Linked DNA regions of Bombyx mori. The protein of the gene in region 2 binds, or shares a complex with, the protein of the main gene of each other region. Links are inferred from orthologs where the notes say so. Each region holds a gene or a part of one and is shown on either strand. Other genes may lie near its edges.

Evidence for each region. Proteins that work in one complex are often made in the same cells at the same time.
Region 1: general transcription and DNA repair factor IIH helicase subunit XPD (region 2) and NIF3-like protein share a complex: the UniProt entries of both Homo sapiens proteins name them as parts of the MMXD complex. The link is inferred for Bombyx mori from reciprocal best matches to the Homo sapiens genes ERCC2 and CIAO1.
Region 3: general transcription and DNA repair factor IIH helicase subunit XPD (region 2) and DNA-directed RNA polymerase II subunit Rpb4 share a complex: the UniProt entries of both Homo sapiens proteins name them as parts of the TBP-based Pol II pre-initiation complex. The link is inferred for Bombyx mori from reciprocal best matches to the Homo sapiens genes ERCC2 and POLR2D.

The regions. Positions count from the first base shown.
Region 1 is NC_085116.1:9,600,147-9,606,406, reverse strand, and holds the start of NIF3-like protein, read left to right. Parts: upstream 1-2,308; coding exon 2,309-2,436; intron 2,437-5,417; coding exon 5,418-5,549; intron 5,550-6,260. UniProt on the Homo sapiens protein: Key component of the cytosolic iron-sulfur protein assembly (CIA) complex, a multiprotein complex that mediates the incorporation of iron-sulfur cluster into extramitochondrial Fe/S proteins.
Region 2 is NC_085127.1:13,512,949-13,518,698, reverse strand, and holds part of general transcription and DNA repair factor IIH helicase subunit XPD, read right to left. Parts: intron 5,119-5,750; coding exon 5,015-5,118; intron 3,998-5,014; coding exon 3,899-3,997; intron 2,260-3,898; coding exon 2,172-2,259; intron 2,090-2,171; coding exon 1,998-2,089; intron 847-1,997; coding exon 670-846; intron 1-669. UniProt on the Homo sapiens protein: ATP-dependent 5'-3' DNA helicase. Component of the general transcription and DNA repair factor IIH (TFIIH) core complex, not absolutely essential for minimal transcription in vitro.
Region 3 is NC_085114.1:9,606,375-9,612,694, reverse strand, and holds the start of DNA-directed RNA polymerase II subunit Rpb4, read right to left. Parts: upstream 3,953-6,320; 5' UTR 3,843-3,952; exon of another isoform or gene 3,834-3,842; intron 3,036-3,833; 5' UTR 2,669-3,035; intron 1-2,668. Other genes in the region: uncharacterized protein LOC119628842, read left to right, coding at 4,289-4,337, 4,530-4,769, 4,947-5,105, 6,066-6,214. UniProt on the Homo sapiens protein: Core component of RNA polymerase II (Pol II), a DNA-dependent RNA polymerase which synthesizes mRNA precursors and many functional non-coding RNAs using the four ribonucleoside triphosphates as substrates.

The DNA.
Region 1 (6,260 bases), on a different chromosome or scaffold from region 2:
CATTTCTGAAACAATTTGTTTTCAAGAACTTCACTCTTCTCGAGTGGCAAACACGAAGTGAGTACATAACTTTACTAATTTATCTTGACTAATTTAATGAACAAAACGTATAAACAATAATACGTGTATTAAAAAATCAACATACTAACGTTTAAAATTTTCCAAAAAGATTCCACAATGACTTATTTGTATGTTTATACATAAATTAAGTGTTATAGTTCCTTAATAGCCGAATATTATGTAAATTTCCAGTTGACGTCATTATTATACAAAATAAGTAAATAGAATAAACGCTTAAAATGTTTAAACTGGAACTGATTCAAAATCTGGCCGGACACAAGGGTATAGTTTGGAATGTGTCGTGGCATCCACTTGGAAAATATTTTGCTTCTTGTGGTGAAGATAAAACTATAAAATTATGGAGTAAATATGGACAAGATTGGGCGATTAAGACTGTACTTGTCGATGGACATCAGAGAACAATTCGGGAAGTAGCCTGGTCACCCTGCGGTAATTTCCTCGCTTCAGCCAGTTTTGATGCGACTACTGCAATTTGGGATAAAAAAAGTGGTGTGTATTTTTCCCTTGTGACCCTGTGAAGAATTTGTACATCCAAAATTAAAATGAGTAACACTTTATAGGTGAATTCCAATGCAATGCAACTTTAGAAGGCCATGAAAATGAAGTTAAAAGTGTAGCATGGTCACCTTCAGGCCATCTCCTGGCTACTTGTGGAAGAGATAAGTCTGTTTGGGTGTGGGAAGTAGCTGGAGAAGATGAATACGAGTGTGAAGCTGTACTTAATGCTCACAATCAGGATGTGAAGAAAGTTAGTGCATGAATAAACAAAATTGAGTTTGTGTTTCTTACATATAATGAATGGATAAATTATATTATTTTCTTTATAGGTTGCATGGCATCCTTCTCTAGATATCTTAGCATCAGCATCTTATGATAACACAGTAAAACTGTACCAAGAAGATCCTGTAGATAATGATTGGACTTGTGTTGCCACTCTACATTCGCATGAGTCAACAGTTTGGAGTTTGGCATTTGATAAAACTGGAGAAAGACTGGCGACATGTAGTGACGATAGAACTGTAAAAATTTGGAAAGAATACAAACCTGATAATCAAGAAGGTGTTGTGGTGACTGATCGAGAGGCAGTCTGGAAATGCATATGTACACTCTCTGGATTTCACACACGATGTATTTATGATATTGCTTGGTGTCATAAAACTGACCTCATAGCTACTGCTTGTGGAGATGATATCATTAGAATATTTAAAGAGAGTGAAGATTCTGATCCTAATGCTCCCACTTTTGAACTTCTTTGTACAAAGAAAAATGCTCATTCTCAAGATGTAAACTGTGTAGCTTGGAATCCTTCAGGAAATCAAGAACTGCTTTCTTGTAGTGATGATGGAGAAATAAAAATATGGAAGTTTACAGAAGCTTAAAGTAACTAATTATTGACAGAAAGATCAAATAGAAATGATCAAAAAATCTAACAAGGAGTGATAATAATTTTATATTAAGGTTATGCCACAAGACATTAGCTGTGATTGTATCTAGCAAGATATAAATGTATTGTAAATACAGTATAAGTTTCAGTCTTTATAATAATTGTTGAAAACATGATTTAGTATTATTGTTCACGAACATAACCCAAATAACTAATAAAAAAAATAACAAAAAACATTATAACATAGATAAAATGTTTTGGTATACACTGCACTGGCTTGCTGATATAATCCATGGGCTTACATATTTTTTTTAAATATGAAAGCTTTGAAAATCTGACAATTATTATGAAATATCAACTTCTTTAGATCCAATCATTGAACTATACAAAATACCCACAGTCAGGTTTTTTTTGGTATAAGAAACGGTCTTATAATATGAATTAACAAAACACTAAAGTACTATATTATTACACAATATACCATATTAAACTATTACAAACCATATTAAAAATTAAAAGTGGCATTATAAAATTCCAATTTATAAATTAAACATCAGTTAATTGTTTTTATAATGGAGTAGTTAGTTTTAAAGATAAGGAAAAAGGAAATAAAGTTTGGATTAAAATAATGATGAAAAACAGCATTTATTATTTCACTGAATCTTTTCAAAATGCCTTTTGGTAAAATTTAATTTTTTAACAATGTTTTATTTCAAATTTATTAGTAAATTTTACATTTAAAAATTAAACTTTTTTCAGATATTACTAATGTTCTTTCAGTTAGGCAGGCACATTTTAAAGTCAAGAAATTCAAGGAATCACTTGTTCACACATTTTATCAAAATGTCAACTGAGAAATTCTGTGCAGTGTCTTTGGAAAGAGTAGTAACAGTACTTGAAAAATTTGCTCCAAAAGAATTGGCAGAGAGTTGGGATAACACTGGTTTGTTGGTGGAACCTTACACACCGAGGTATGAGCAAATTTATTCTTGACTACAAATACCCACTAGCAGTAACAAAAAAAAATGTTATTCATTTAAAATTATGTACTATTATAATAATTATATTAAGGTAGCTACTGCCTCACATAGAAACTGGTAATGACAGAGATGCTAAGCCTTACTGTGTATTGCTTTAGTCTTTAGACTTATTGTAGAGGATTACACAGAATTGGCCGTGTGGTGTCCGTGTGGTGTGGCCTCGATAAAGAATAATACCGGGCGACTAACGGGTTATCCAGAGAATGAGCGGCAACGTTCTCTGAGTATCATAACAGCATACTGCGATCGCCAACCCGCATGCCAAGCGTGGCGATTATGGAAACCCCTCCCAACATGTCTGACACAAATAAAAACCGCCCAGTCCTCGGCAGCTCCGCTATTCCTGGCTACAGTAGCGGTCAAGGTAACGGCGGGGCAGGGGGTGCTAAGAATCTCCGGCAGAGATCCGGCTACGTAAAAAACGACGATTGGACCTGGCAACATATAACGCGCGAACACTGCGGACCGATGAGAAGATTGTGGAACTCGAGGAGGAATTGAGCAGGTTACGGTGGGACATTGTGGGCTTATCTGAAGTCCGAAGAGAGGGAGAGGAAACGATAATTCTGAGGTCCGGTAACTTGTTCTATTTTCGGGAAGGTGATCATCTGTCTTAAGGTGGTGTCGGGATTATCGTCCACAAGTCCCCTATGAATAATGTGTTGTAAATCGAGAGTGTATCGACCAGAGTGGTTGTACCTTGTACTCAGAATCACCAAAAGGTATTCGTTGAAGATAATACAGGTTTACGCTCCGACTATGTAATAGGACATTTCCAGAGCCATGCATAGCTCTACAACTCACTTCACCATTGTCATGGGGGATATCAACGCCAGACTCGGTAAACGGTGCGAAGGGGAGCTGCGAGTAGGACCATTTGGATTTGGGCATCGAAATCACCAGGGAAACTTACTTGCCGATTTCATGGAGAAGAAAGAATTATTTATGATGACCTCTTCAGAAAACGGGGTCACAGGAAGTGGACCTGGATGAGCCCCAATAGCGCTATCAAAAATGAGATTGATTTTATTATGTCGCAGATTTTATTATGATGTCTCTGTGATCAATACGATTAAAACCGGAAGTGATCATCGGGTGGTAAGAGGCACAATGAACCTCAATAAACCTTGAGAGATTCCGAGTTATGAGGTCTACGCTCCGTTCAGCACCAGCTCAGATCCAAAGTTCTAGACACTTTCAGCTCGAACTTCAAAACCGCTTCGAGTGCCTAGGAGGCTCCGTGGACGATTACAATAACGGGTTTGTGAATGCTGTCCATACGATCGGTTCCAAGATTTTTGGAACCCGTCGTGCAAACAGAACCAAAAAACTCTCAGACCCTACTTTCAAACTCATGGAAGAACGTCGCGAGATGATTATGCAGTCTTGCAGAGATGTTATTTCTCCGAAACTATTTACCGCTGCGTTGGAAGACATTTTCAAAGTTCTGAACTGGAAAGGGCTAGCATAAACATCATCGGCGAGTACATAGTTCGCCGACGATATTGTGACTATGGCCGAGACCTTGGAGGACCTTAGTACAATGCTCAAAGACCTCAGTAGGGCTTCTATCCGAGTGGGCCTGAATATGAACATGGAAAAAACAAAAATTATGTTGAATGTTCATATAGCGCCCACTCCAGTAAAAATTGGAAGCTCTACGCTCGAAGTTGTTGACGAGTATATTTAACTGGGACACACTGTCCTGCTAAGTAAGTCCAACTTCGAAAAAGAGGTCAATCGTCGAATCCAGCTTGGATAGGCAGCGTTCGGAAAGCTACGTAAATCTTCTCATCACAAATACCACAGTGTCTCAAGACGAAAGTCTTTGATCAGTGTGTGTTGCTCTGAAATGTGGTTGCTCACAATGGCCCTTATGAGAAGGCTCAAGGTCACTCAAAGAGCAATGGAGAGGCTATGCTTGGAGTTTTCCTGCGAGATAAATCAGAAATGAGGAGATTCGCAGGAAAACCATGATAACCGACATAGCCCAAAGAATTGCGACGTTGAATTGGCAGTGGGCAAGGCACATTGCTCGTAGAACGGATGGCCGTTGGGGCCAGAAAGTTCTTGAGTGGCGACCGCGTACCGGAAGACGTAGCGTGGGCAAGCCTCCCGCAAGATAGAACGACGATCTATTGAGATTCGCGGGAATCTGCTGGATGCAGGCAGCGCAGGACCGGTCTTTGTGGCGAGACTTGGGGGAGCCCTGTGTCCAGTAGTGGACGTCTGTGGGCTGATAAGAAGAAGAAGACATAGAATTGATAGATAAGTCTTAAGTATTAAAGTTATGATTACCTTCATGCTTTGGGTTGAAATTGTATGTGCTTTGAAGTTTCAAATTATAAACTGTCAATTCAGCCGTATGTAGGGTATATAAAATATATAGGCTAAAGTGTCTCTTTGAATAAAGCCAATGATGACATTATTTGAGGATTACCAAACATGTTTGATTAAAACATGGGTATATAATTATTTTTCATATATAATTATATTATATTATTTCATTGAAAATTGGTTTTCTGTAATCAGCTAACCTATTCCTCGAAAACCTTTTTAATAAAAATAAATAAAATTACATGGCCAATGCCCATTGCACTTTTGCGAATCACAAGATTTAAAAAATACAGTCTATTCTCAAACACAACCAGTGTGGACTAAAAGTCACTCCCCTGTTATAGAAAGATCTATACAGAACACAAAGTGAGGATGCAACTATAATATGAGTTGATGATGTAGAAGTGGTACCAGCTAAAGTCAAATGCCTGTAAGTTCAGACATATAATCGCCAAACTTATAAAAATACTTTAAATAAATTTCCATTAGTTAATTTGACAAATTTAAATTAATTTTCTTTATGTTTTTAATTACCTATTTAAAATATAATATTTTTTTATAATTTTCAATTCCAGACAAATAACCAAAATTTTGTTAACTAACGACTTAACAGAAGATGTGGCCTTGGAAGCTGAAATTCTGGCGTGTGAGATGATTATTTCATATCATCCTCCGATATTTGCGCCTTTGAAGTCTATTGTTCAGCGGTAATTATTTATATAGTTCTAGTCACACGTCTTTGACGCTATTTATCACTTTGTCAGCATAGTATCCATATATTTTATATTATCAAATGAAAGTACAGTCAAACCTGGATAAGCGAGAGTTCAAGGGAGCACAATCTCATTCTCGCTTATAGAGGTTTCTCACTAACCCGAGTTTCTCGCTAATGCTCCCTCTGAATTTCGATTCGCGATTTTCCGCATTCAAATGCATTCACTATTTTAAGTTTATGACTTTAATGACAGTACTTTAATTTTCCGTTTTTACATGATGCAGAACAGAACTTTCCTTCGCAATTGATTAACGATAATCTGAGTAAGTCCGACAAACAGGACGGTACACAGGCACACGTGTCCATTCGAAAATAATGCGATAAAAGAATACGATAAAATAACAACGTTATTTAGTTTCACGAAATAGAATAGGTTCAATATTCACGAGAAAACAATACAAAAACAATGATAATAAGTTCCACGAAAGTTAAAAATGAGTCATAAAATAGCAAATGTTAAATTTGTAATTTGTTTTGTCATTTGTTCTTCCTAAATAATATAAATAAATAAATAAAGCTCGGCTGTCGCTTATAGAGGTATAGATAGGTAGCAGTCTCACTTACGGAGGTCCATGAGGAAAAAACGACTCTCTCTTACAGAGGTTTCTGTTTCTCGCTAATAGAGGTTTTGGGAGCTTAAAAT
Region 2 (5,750 bases):
AAGTACAACGCCATGTATTGTCAGATAGCGAAAATACATTTCTCGACTTTTGTGGAATATTCTCGATAATTCTATGGATGTCGTATCGATTATAAAAGCGTTGCAGAGATGGCACGCAGTCAGTCAGTAATTGGAACTACTCGAAGCGAAACAGGGAACAGATCACCTGAAGCCAAGCGGAACAAGCGAATTGAGAGTTTTAAAGTGTTTGTAGGGTGCTTTAAGTGTTGAATACAGTTTTTAGTTGTACTTTGGTGGAACATTTATTTATCCCAGCGCGTAACAATATGTACGTATTCGGGGATTTTGAGTCTCACTTGAAGGTTCACTATCTCAGTATATAAACAACTGTACGTGTAGCTGTAATTCATCTAACACGAAGGTAGTCAAGCTCCGTAACCCCGCACGTCAGCTGTGTGCCTAACGACAAACATAGGGGCGCTGTTCCAACTCCATACAAATTTGAGTTAACTTTTACGCAATCGAGATGTTAAAAACTCGCACTAAGAATACTAATTGTTAACTCTATTTGCGTACGATTGACAAGACTGTAAGTACGGGCCCTCGGACGCGACCTCCGAACATCAGTAGCGTTAAATACACCCAACAAAATTGGCATAACTTTTATAGTTTCTTAACGTTTATACGATACAATGAACAAGGGCGCACCTGGAAGTTCTCCCGCAGGTAGTCGAGCCGTGCCTTGAGGATGCGGCTCTGCGTGAACACGTAGGGGATGCCGAACATGAGCACGGCGCGGCCCAGGTGGTGCTCGAAGTCCACGCCCTCCGACACCTTGCCGCGGGCCACGGACAGCAGCACGGCGCCGCGCCCCGACTCGCACGCCTGCGCACCGCACCCACCTCACACCACAAGATACAACGATGCACGAAGTCCAGATAAGGTTTAAAAGGTAGATAAATCTTATATTTATCTTTTACTGGCTGACCCGGGCAGACTTCGTAGTGGCCTCAATCGATAAACAAAATCCTAATCTAAGTGACACATCTAAGGGAAAACAAAATTGTTATTTTTATTTCATTCCGAGCATTTTCATATTTATCTATGTTTTAAGCCTTCTCTGGACTTCCACAAATAATTGAAGATCAAAAGCTAAAATCGGTCCAGCCGTTCTTGAGTTTTAGCGAGACTAACGAACAGCAATTCATTTTTATATATATAGATTTATCGATGGAGGCACTACGAAGTCTGTTATAAATACATATTTGGCTCAGTGTGGTTAGTGCGAGTTTTTTAACATAGCGTAAAAGTTAACCCAATTTAGTATGCAGTTGGAACAGCGCCTCTAGCGGCAAACGTACGCAAACGTTCCAACTCCATACAAATTCGAGTTAACTTTTACGCTATCGAGAACGTTAAAAACTCGCACTAAGCACACTGGTGTAAAGTTAGATTTTAAAGTGAAACTTTTATTACATCGTCTCAAACTTTTCCGTCTGTGTGTTGCATGTCGCGTGACGGTCGGCCGCGGAGTAGGGATAAAGTGAAAGGCGCTCGTCAGAGCAGCCAAGGCCAATATGGCGGCGCCTATAGTTCGCAGCAGCTGACCGTGTAGTGTATAGACTATTACTCATTTGTGCCAGTGATCCACGCTATTGTTTGTTTTTGTCAGTGTTTAATGTAAATGGTGTTTGTCAGAGTTAAATGTCTATAATGTGAAAAAAAAAGTTTCACTTTTAGCGTGGTTTCATAAAACACACAATCCTTTTTATTGCTTAGATGGGTGGACGAAGTCACAGCCCACCTGGTGTTAAGTGGTTACTGGAGCCCATAGACATCTACAACGTAAATGCGCAACCCTCCTTGAGATATGAGTTCTAAGGTCTCAGTATAGTTAAACGCCCCCCCCCCCCCCCCTTCACACCGGAACGCATTACTGCTTCACGAGTATAATTAATCATCCTTAAAATTTCTGACAGTAACTAGTGATGCTCTATATGTAAGGGTCCCGCTGGTGGGGCGGCGGCGCCACTTGCCTTGATGTAGTTGATGAGGGCGAAGCTCGTCTCGGCGGAGTCTTGCGTCTCGATGAACAGCAGCTTGTGTCGCTGCAGACTCGCGACTACACCTGCACACGCGTTACATTTGTTACGAGAGGGGCCCGCGGACATCACGCTGCATCGTGTTTATGTGGCCGAGTTTCCGCTCACCCTGGTCGTACCAGGCCCCCACGACGCTCTCCAGATACAGGTACGACGTGAAGAAGCACACCACGCCGTCAGGCACGCACGCCGACATCTGTAGATGAGAGAACATATATTTACTAACACTCATTTATAAGTACCGTTACGCGCTGGGATTCGGGATAAATAAAATTCTACCGAATTACAAGTTAACACTATATTAGCACTTAGAACACTTAAAACACTTAACAAACGCTTTAAAACTCTCAATTCGCTTCTTCCGCTTCGCTTCTGGTGATCCTTTCGCTGTTCCGATTACTGACTGCGTGTTTTTTTTTCCTACCTAAGCTGAGAGCCTTGAGAGGCTATATCAGCGTAGCCTTAACTAGTAGGTGAGCTCACGGGGCTCAAACCTGACAACATTTCTAACATGAGCCCTAGCTAGCGAGCCGAATCGGAATTGTAACCCACTGAGAAGATCAGGCGAGAAACTCAGTGGACTGTGTCTGAAGGCATCTCTGCAACGCTTTTATAGTCGAGCCGAAATCCCGAGAATCGTCGAGAATATTTCACAAAAGTCTAGTATTGTGTATTTCCGTTATCTGGCAATAGATGACGTTGTACTTCTCGAGCGTTCTAGATGTTACTAGATCCTTCGATATTCGTTCGACTATTCGGCGATAGATGGCGTTACTCTTACCGGCGTAACAGTACTAATGGTTTCCCAGTTGTACACTACACTATAGATAAATAATATTAAACTTAACGCCAGGTGGGCTGTGAGCTCATCCACCCATCTAAGCAATAAAAAAAAGTGCGCTCCTCTATATTGTTACGCCGGTAAGAGTAACGCCATCTATCGTCGAACAGCAGAAACGAATATCAAAAGAACCAGTAAAATGTAGAACGATCGAGAAGTGCAACGCCATCTGTTGTCAGACAGCAGAAACGCATATTGAAAATACCTGACTTGTGAGGGATGTTTTCAATAATTCTAGGGATGTCGTATCGCCGGCAGTGATGACATGGATCAGTTTGTTAATCGAATCTACTCGAAGCGAAACAGCGAACGGATCAGCTGAAGCGAAGCGAAAGAAGTAAATTGAAAATTTTAAAGTGATTTAAGTGCTAATTTGTACTACCGTAGAATTTTTATTTATCCCGAACCCCAGCGCGTAACAATATTCTCTATGAGTGTGAGATATTTCATACTACTCCGCAAAATTTTCATAAAAAGGGGTACAAAGTTTTTGCTTCACCTATAAATATACAGATAATAATATTCAGATATTGTGTGCCGTTTTATAAGGACGGCATTGTTGTAGGTGAAGACAACGGTAAGATTGAGGTTTATTGTTTTGATTGTTCTCAAGACGATGAGAAGTGGTTAAATTTAATATCAAAGACAGGTACGCGAGCGTCTATGTTTAGACGAAACTGTCTATAGGCATTGTAATTGTGACCATCCGTTGTTAAGTGAGTAACAATCAAACTGAGACGATAATTATATAAAGAACTCATTTCAGCGGGGTGCGTTTGTACTGTAAAAACTGAGACCTTAGAACTCATATCTCAAGGTGAGTGGCAGCATTTACGTTGCAGATGTCTATGGGCTCTTAATACCAGTGGGCTTTAAGTTCGCCCACACATCTAAGCAATAAAAAAGTGACATGGTCGCCATATCGCAGGAGTCTTTCGTGGACATGTGCAAGATCCATATGACTATAAGCGGCGGCGCAGTACGAGAACGGTACCTCGACCAGCAGCTGCCCGTAGTTCCTTATGACGGCGACGTCCTCTCTCGTCTCGTACTTGGACGATATGGCCACCTGATCGCTGCCCTTCGATACTATCTGAAAGATATAACAAAAAACAATTATTAGGTACAGAGGGACGCAAACGTGCATGGATATTTGTATGAACCTACAGCTAACGCCATTTTTTTATGAACAAAGGATTACTGGAAATTCCTCCGGGCTCTTTTCGGTTTCACCAGGACAGGTGGGCGAGCAAGGGCTCAGCCAGGAGAGGTAGGATTTGCTAACAGCTGCCCGAGCGCCTCCGAAGGAGACCTAACAACTCAAGAGCAGCTGCTTTGCTAATGAATCTACTACCGGATCGGAATCGCGACCCGCTGAGAAGATCCGGCGAGAAACTCGACGGGCTGATGCATGGGTTAGGTTGCACGGCGAACTCTTTGTCGAGTTCGACGAATACGGTTACCGGGGTCCCTCAGTCTGCTCCTAGTGTTAGAGCTGAAGGCGTCTAATTAAGGCATGCTAACGCCATCTGTTATTGAAGGGCGGTACTAGCTGGTGATGTGTAGTAGTCTGTTACTGGTACCAGATTGTGCTTTATTAAACATGTGAAAAATATTTTGTATGGTGCATGTACAATCTCAATGTTTAGAATGAAACAGAAGATAGGTAAAAATATGTACCTAATAAGATGATTGATGATTTAAATGTGATGAAGACAAGTAAATAAACCCAGCAACGCCATCTAATTAATGTATATTAACTCGCATAAAAATGCACTAACGCGTTTCGGGTTTCGTACCGCCGTTAGACAATATTGAGAGTTTGACCTCAAGCCTCATGGTGGGTAGCGTTATGCACGTTATGATATGACTACGGGATCCGGTGAACACTTGAAACCAGATCTTCCGATATGACTAAAGAGTAATCTTATGTCTCTGTGAAATCAATTGATATATCAGTTCTGTCAGCTTCAACAGTGATGAGCAGCTCGTGGACATTCTCCCTTCCTCCACCCTCAGTACATCCAGTGATTCACGAGAGCTCACGACTAACCTATTTACAATATATCGCAAGTTCTATGAGCTAAGGATCCCGACTGACAAAACTAACCATGGGCAGTATGCACGGCCTGGCCAGGGTCATGGTGAAGGAGCTCATTATCACCGGATTGAAGTCCAGGATCTTCGGGTACATGTCCAGCGGCGAGAGGGTTCCTGAAATTTCCACGAAACTATTGTTACGCTGGCAAGAGCAATGCCATCTATCGTCGAATAACAGCAACTAGTATAAGAACAGAAACTAATATAAGAACGTTGCCGGCTAACATTCGAGTTTGCAAGTCTGTTTCTGTTTTAAGTACAAGTTCAAACAATTCTATTTCTCATCAACCGAATGATCATTGTTCTATGCTCTTCGTATATACTGTGTTACTTATAATATTTTGTATTCAAGTTTAACAATATTTATGTTGAATATGGCGGTCGAATGAGCATGGTTACTGATTTTCATGGGCCACCAGACGGGCTCGGCTGGATCGCATGCAGCGTACGTACTGATAGTCTGAGTAATAAAAGCACTGACTTCTTATGAACAATTGTATTTTGTCTGAATTACAACATTTAATTATATTCAAGTCTGATTGAAGAGTACTGAAGACGCGTCCGTTCGCGTGAGGGGCGCTTGGGCAGAGAGCGAACAGAGTAGTTGAATGACAAAACTGAACATTAACATAGATTATTACGGCTTCGTACTGATCTAATACAGATAAACAATTTCGTTTCTACAGAGTAATAATTACATGTGAATTTGCGTGAACAATTTACTATGTGTATTTGCGTTACTATAA
Region 3 (6,320 bases), on a different chromosome or scaffold from region 2:
GTTCGACGAGAACGGTGACCGGTGCTTGAAGTACCTAGAAGCACCGTTAGTGGATCGGGAGCATCCGAGATGACGTGTTTTGGGCGACGTCGACTGCTTTCCATTCTGTCCGCAGGATCGGGAATGTAGTTACCGGCGGCCACGATGAGAGGGTTCTCGTGTCGTGCCGCTTTATCGAAGTGGCGCATTGACGCCGACTGTATATACTTACTGATGGACTCTAAGTCCAGGTCGTCATGGAGGTCGACGTTCCTGACGAACCACGGGGCTCCGACGGCTATCCTGCAAAAACGGGATTGAATGATTTGGAATGACTTTAAGTGAGTGCGGGCCGCGTGAGCGAACACTACACTTGCATAGGTCATGACGGGGCGTATGCAAGTTTTGTAGAGTGTCACCTTATTTCTAAGGGACATTTTACTTCGCCTACATATCATCGGGTAGAGACGTCCTAGAATGAAGGCGGCACGGTCGCGTACCGTCTTGATGTGGGGGCGGAATGTCATCCTACTGTCGAGGGTGACGCCTAAATATTTGACCTTCGGGGCCCACGGTATGGGCTGGTCGAACATCGTGATTGGGCGAACGGCGGGGGCGGAGGTGTTGACGCGCCTAGTCGGGAGGGATGACGTTTTATACAAAACATGCCTTTTTATACCTGCAGTTGGTCTTGCAAACTGCAGTGAGTTGAGGGAGCAATTTTTGGAGTTTGCTGTTGTCGTTTTGTTTCAGCAGGCAGGTAAACTTATCATGTCTTATGTGGTATCATTGAATAGGTATTGAACTATCCTTTAACCTTATGTTAAAAAATATATGTATTTTTTTAAATAAAAAGAAGTAAATAATATTTTTCAAAAAATGTACAGATGTGCGATTTCATTGCACCCGAGTGTAGATATATTTTGATCCTAATAAAAGGTTAAAGACTTTGTTTGAGTTTTCTTGCCTATTCATTAAACACAAAAGTGCCTTCGAACAAACACGGATTTGTGGAGCTTAATCAAGGCGCATACTTGCAAACCCGTGCGCGATTGGAGGACGCGTACCCTGAATTGAACACGTGTTTAGAAGGGCAGTTGGCGTTGCAAACCCGTGCGCGATTTGAGGACACGTGCCTTGAATTGAACACGATTTTGTAAAGGAAGCTAGCGCGACAAACCCGTGCGTGTTTCAAGGCAGTACTGCCTCCTAATGAACACGGAAATGGAAATACGCTACCCGGTCGAGGGGGGTAACGGACCGGGTTATGTCGGACTCCGGCGCCTCCTGGCCTGGCCTCCTGAGAGGAAGAAGGGGAGAAGAGAAGGGCCGAGGTCCTTCACCTGCCCCAATTTCTCATAGGAGACTACGCCTTGAAAAAGGCGCGCGAAGCACTTACCCCGCAGAACGACTACCGACTAAACCCCATCGAGCTCCACCACACCGACTACACGAAACTTACGGTACCGCGATGCGCGCCGAAAGTCTCGCCTTAGGCGGTACCCGTACTAATGTTAAGACGGGATTTCATCCCCGGGAAAATCCCGTAGTCGTCGTGGCCTAACGGATAAGACGTCCGGTGCATTCGTGTTGAGCGATGCATCGGTGTTCGAATCCCGCAGGCGGGTACCAATTTTTCTAATGAAATACGTACTCAACAAATGTTCACGATTGATTTCCACGGTGAAGGAATAACATCGTGTAATAAAAATGAAACCCGCAAAATTATAATTTGCGTAATTACTGGTGGTAGGACCTCTTGTGAGTCCGCACGGGTAGGTACCACCACCCTGCCTATTTCTGCCGTGAAGCAGTAATGCGTTTCGGTTTGAAGGGTGGGGCAGCCGTTGTAACTATAATTGAGACCTTAGAACTTATATCTCAAGATGGGTGGCGCATTTACGTTGTAGATGTCTATGGGCTCCAGTAACCACTTAACACCAGGTGGGCTGTGAGCTCGTCCACTCATCTAAAAAATCTGTCTCTGTAATAAATTAACTTTTTAAACAAGATTTAAATATAAAACAGTAAAATTGCTCGTGTTTTGGATATAAAACTGCAAAAATATTCGTAAAATATCGAAAACCGAATCAGAGCACATCACTTTCCACCTGGTCTTGTCTGCCCTACCCCTAGAGTGTATATAAAAAACCGGAGGCGCGGAGGGAGAGCAGTCCTCGCCAATATTAGTTAGTATTTAAAGTATTAAGTACATTTTGGCAAAACTAGCTTCACATATCATTAATATTAATAAATTCAGTTGTCAGTCCTAAGCCTGAGAAAGCATGAAGGATTGTTTTCATTTAAAAAAATGTATTAAAACCATTTCATATGTTATAACTGTTCCTATAAGTGGACATATTCTATTTAAAACATTATTAAACCTGTTGCAAAACAAAACGCTGTTATATTGGAACAGGCTACTGGAACTGTTCTTTCGCTGGAACAGGAACAGGTGGAACAGGTCTCTAATTTCACCTGTTACAGACCATCCCTAGTTTGGACAGGCAAAGGGAGATTAGTCGATTTAGCAAAGGATTCTGTAATGGGAACTATCACGGAAAAAAGATTGCTCCAAAATCGCGAACAGTAGTTGGCTTATGTAAATTTTAACACCACGTTGCATGATTGAAAAATAATACCCACTAGATAAATTTTCCATTCTTACTTCTCAAATGAAAATAATTACCTGTGTCGAAACTATTCCAGCCTTCACACTTACACAATTATCACCTGATCAACTTTGACTACCGTGGCCCCGGCACATCTTACGTTCTTCGATAGTCTACCTACCTACTACTTCGATAGTATACTTAAGTGTCAATAAATTCCCACTATTTTACTGGAACATCTTTAATTTATTTCATCTTAACACGTTTCATTCCATTTAGTTTCATTAAATTTCATCCAGAGCATCCATTAGTCACGTCCACTGAACTCTCAGTTAATAATCCTTGTTTTACTGAGACGATTTTATTTCATCCCATTGAGGGAGTCCGTATAAAGTCCCTTCTTTATTTCGCGGGAAAATCGTGTTTTATGTAATTAACACCACACTTGAAACAATAGGAGTTTTATTGTTGCAGCGGCTTATACAGTTCTAAGTTATACCATTTTTTTTTTTCGTCCTTTAAATATTCAGCGGTAAAAAAAATTTTTTTGGGTATTTTATGTCCAGCTCAACTAAGACCTTTAGGTCATGTCTTATTTTAATTCATATTCTTAATTTTATGAAAAATTATATAATGGAAAGAAGTGAAATGCAATGAAGATGATTAATTTGAGACAATAATCAAGTAAGATGAAATTAAATATAGTGAGATGAGATGATATGGGATGAAATATAATCTCAGTAAAATGGTGGTCATTTAATGAAAGGACATGGGCCATTTTCGGCCCAGCTACTCGTGCCCTCAAGGACATTAATAAAATATCTATAGAAAAAAACATTTCATTTTTACATACTTATTATAAAATTTAAGGGTATTTTAATGGTGGGATAATCAAAAGCATAAATAAAAAGAAATACTTAAGCATGATTAAGCTACATTGATAATATTGAAGGAGCTGCCATGGGTAAAATATATTTATATTTTAAATAATTCATATTAAATCTTCTTAAAGAAAACAATGTATTACAAAAAACTAGCAAAATATATTAACATATTTAATCGATAAATATAAATAATAGATAAGCTGATGATGATGTTCGTTTAGTGGGGCGTGCAATGTATGGTCCATGTCCTTTTTTCAGTGGACTTTTTGGAGGATTCCGGGGAAGTTATGTTCAGCGGCTTTGTTGCATTTTCCCACATTTGTGAACTTTCACAGATATTAAACAGTTAATAAATCACCGTTATTACACATTTAAACCTGAAGAAATACTAAATCGACAAAATAAAACAAATCACACAACTTCACTCCTCGCGTTCCCGCCAAAAAGTCCCGGACTCCCGGCGGTAAAAAGGTCCCGTGTCACAGACTATCTTCTTTTTCCCACCTCTTGTGCGATCCGGCTTACGCATCATAAAACATCCTAGTTTCATATAATGTCACTCAAATTTAAAGACTAACATTAGTTAAGTTCATCTCATTTAGCTTCATATGAATTCTGATTTATCAGATTAGAATTTCTACGTGCTCTTTACGTAGAAATTATATTATAGCTGGACTAGAAGGTCTTGTAACCGCTGGCTGTAAGCCAATTGCAATATTGAAAAATTAAGAAGAACAAAAACACTTCAATTTTATTATCTACTTAGAGACTCGGCTAAAGATATTTATTTCAAATTTAAGTAATAAGTTCGTAATGTCCAAAACTCCAATAAAAGAATTGGCTATCAACTTTGTACCTAGAGGTAATTATTTACATAGAGTTTGATTTATAAACTATTATGGTTACGTTGCTGGGTATCAATATCACTTATTATCAAGTGGGCTGTGAGTTTGTCTGCCCATCATCGATTAAGAAGAAAAAGTTTAACAAACAAAATTTCTGTTGTCCATGTCGATTGAAATAGTAAGTAATTTAATAAATGATATTATTTCAGAGATTACAACTCCAAATAAAGACCAACCAGGCTTATCAAAGACTGTATTTTCACATGTGTCTTCGTTTCATAGTTTGTTAATTGATTGGGTCAAACTAAAAGATAAAGGTTCTAAGTTTTGTAAAGGGATCTCATCAGTGAAACTGCACGAGTATAATGATGATTATTATCCGCACCTATTGAAGCCATTGACTGAGGGCTTAGTTGAAATTATAGATAGCTTTCAAAATATTATCGAGGGTAAGTAAAATGATGTATGTTAGTCTAACAATCAACTACAATATTGGAGTATGTGAGACTACTTTTAATAATGTTACAGTTTAAACAATTTAATGGAATGGAATATACATTAACTTTCTAATCAATCTAATTCTAATGCAAAACTGAACTATGTCATATTTAAATGTTTCATTTCAGGTATAAAAATACTAAAAAATCAACTGGATTCACTATCAAAATTGCAGTCGACTGACCAGCCAGTAATTTTGACATGGTCAGTAGGCCGAATTCATGCTTGTGTTAAAAATACATATGAATCACTCTTAAAGGAGTACAAACTAAAAAAAATTGTGACAGGTGAAAATTATTATTATTTATTGAAACATACTGGTGGTAAGACCTCTTGTGAATCCGCACGGGTAGGTACCACCACCCTGCCTATTTTAGACGTGAAGTAGTAATGCATTTCAGTTTGAAGGGTGGGGAACCTGTTTTAATTATACTTGAGGCATTAGAACTTATATCTCGAGGTGGGTGGCGCATTTACGCTGTAGATGTCTATGGGCTCCAGTAACCACTTAACAACAGGTGGGCTGTGAGCTCGTCCACCCATCTAAGCAATGAATAAAAACAACATGCCCGTGATTACATTAGAATTCTAAGACAAGTATTCCCTTTTTTAAAACCATTCAATTCTATGCAGGCCTCCAAAATAATTAATAAACAAAATAAATAATAATAATTAATAGAAAATTTTTGGGATACAAAACATAATTTTCAGAAAATATCCGGCTTTATTTGCTACAGAATAGATTTCACATACTGCTTCCTGACAACTCTGTGATAACTCAATAATTTACATTTTTATCTTATTGGTAATTTAAGGTAAACATAATTCATCATCATCATCATCTCAGCCTGTCCATTGTCCACTGCTGAACATAGGCCTCTCCAAGTGATCTCCAGTGCAGCCGGTCCGTTGCCACCTGCATCCAACGTGACCCAGCGGTTCTTACCAGGTCGTCGGTCCATCTCGTAGGTGGCCGTCCCACACTGAGCTTGCCAGTACGTGGTCTCCACTCGAGGATCTTTCCGCCCCATCGGCCGTCCGATCTTCGCGCTATGTGGCCTGCCCACTGCCACTTCAGTGTGCTAATCCTACGGCCTATGTCAGTAACTTTGGTTCTTCTACGGATCTCCTCGTTTCTGATTCGGCCCCGTAGAGAAATACCAAGCATAGCCATCTCCATAGCTCGCTGCGCGACGCTGATAATTATAATTATAAACATAATTAATGTATATAATTTCTGTTTTCAGAAAACATAGCACACTGTAGAGATGAAAGCCTCATTGAAGTTTATGTTAGTTCTTGGGAATTTGACCCATATTTGAACATGGAAGAAAATGCTTATTTATTTGCAGAAATTGGTGTTGCTGGAATTTCTTCATTTAAAAAAATAATTTAATGCTCATTCGTCAGTATTGTCTATGTCAAGTCATTTTTGGATGTTTTAAAAGTCACAGACAATTTAATTATAAAGCTTTAAAGGCCTTATGACTAAGTGTAAACTT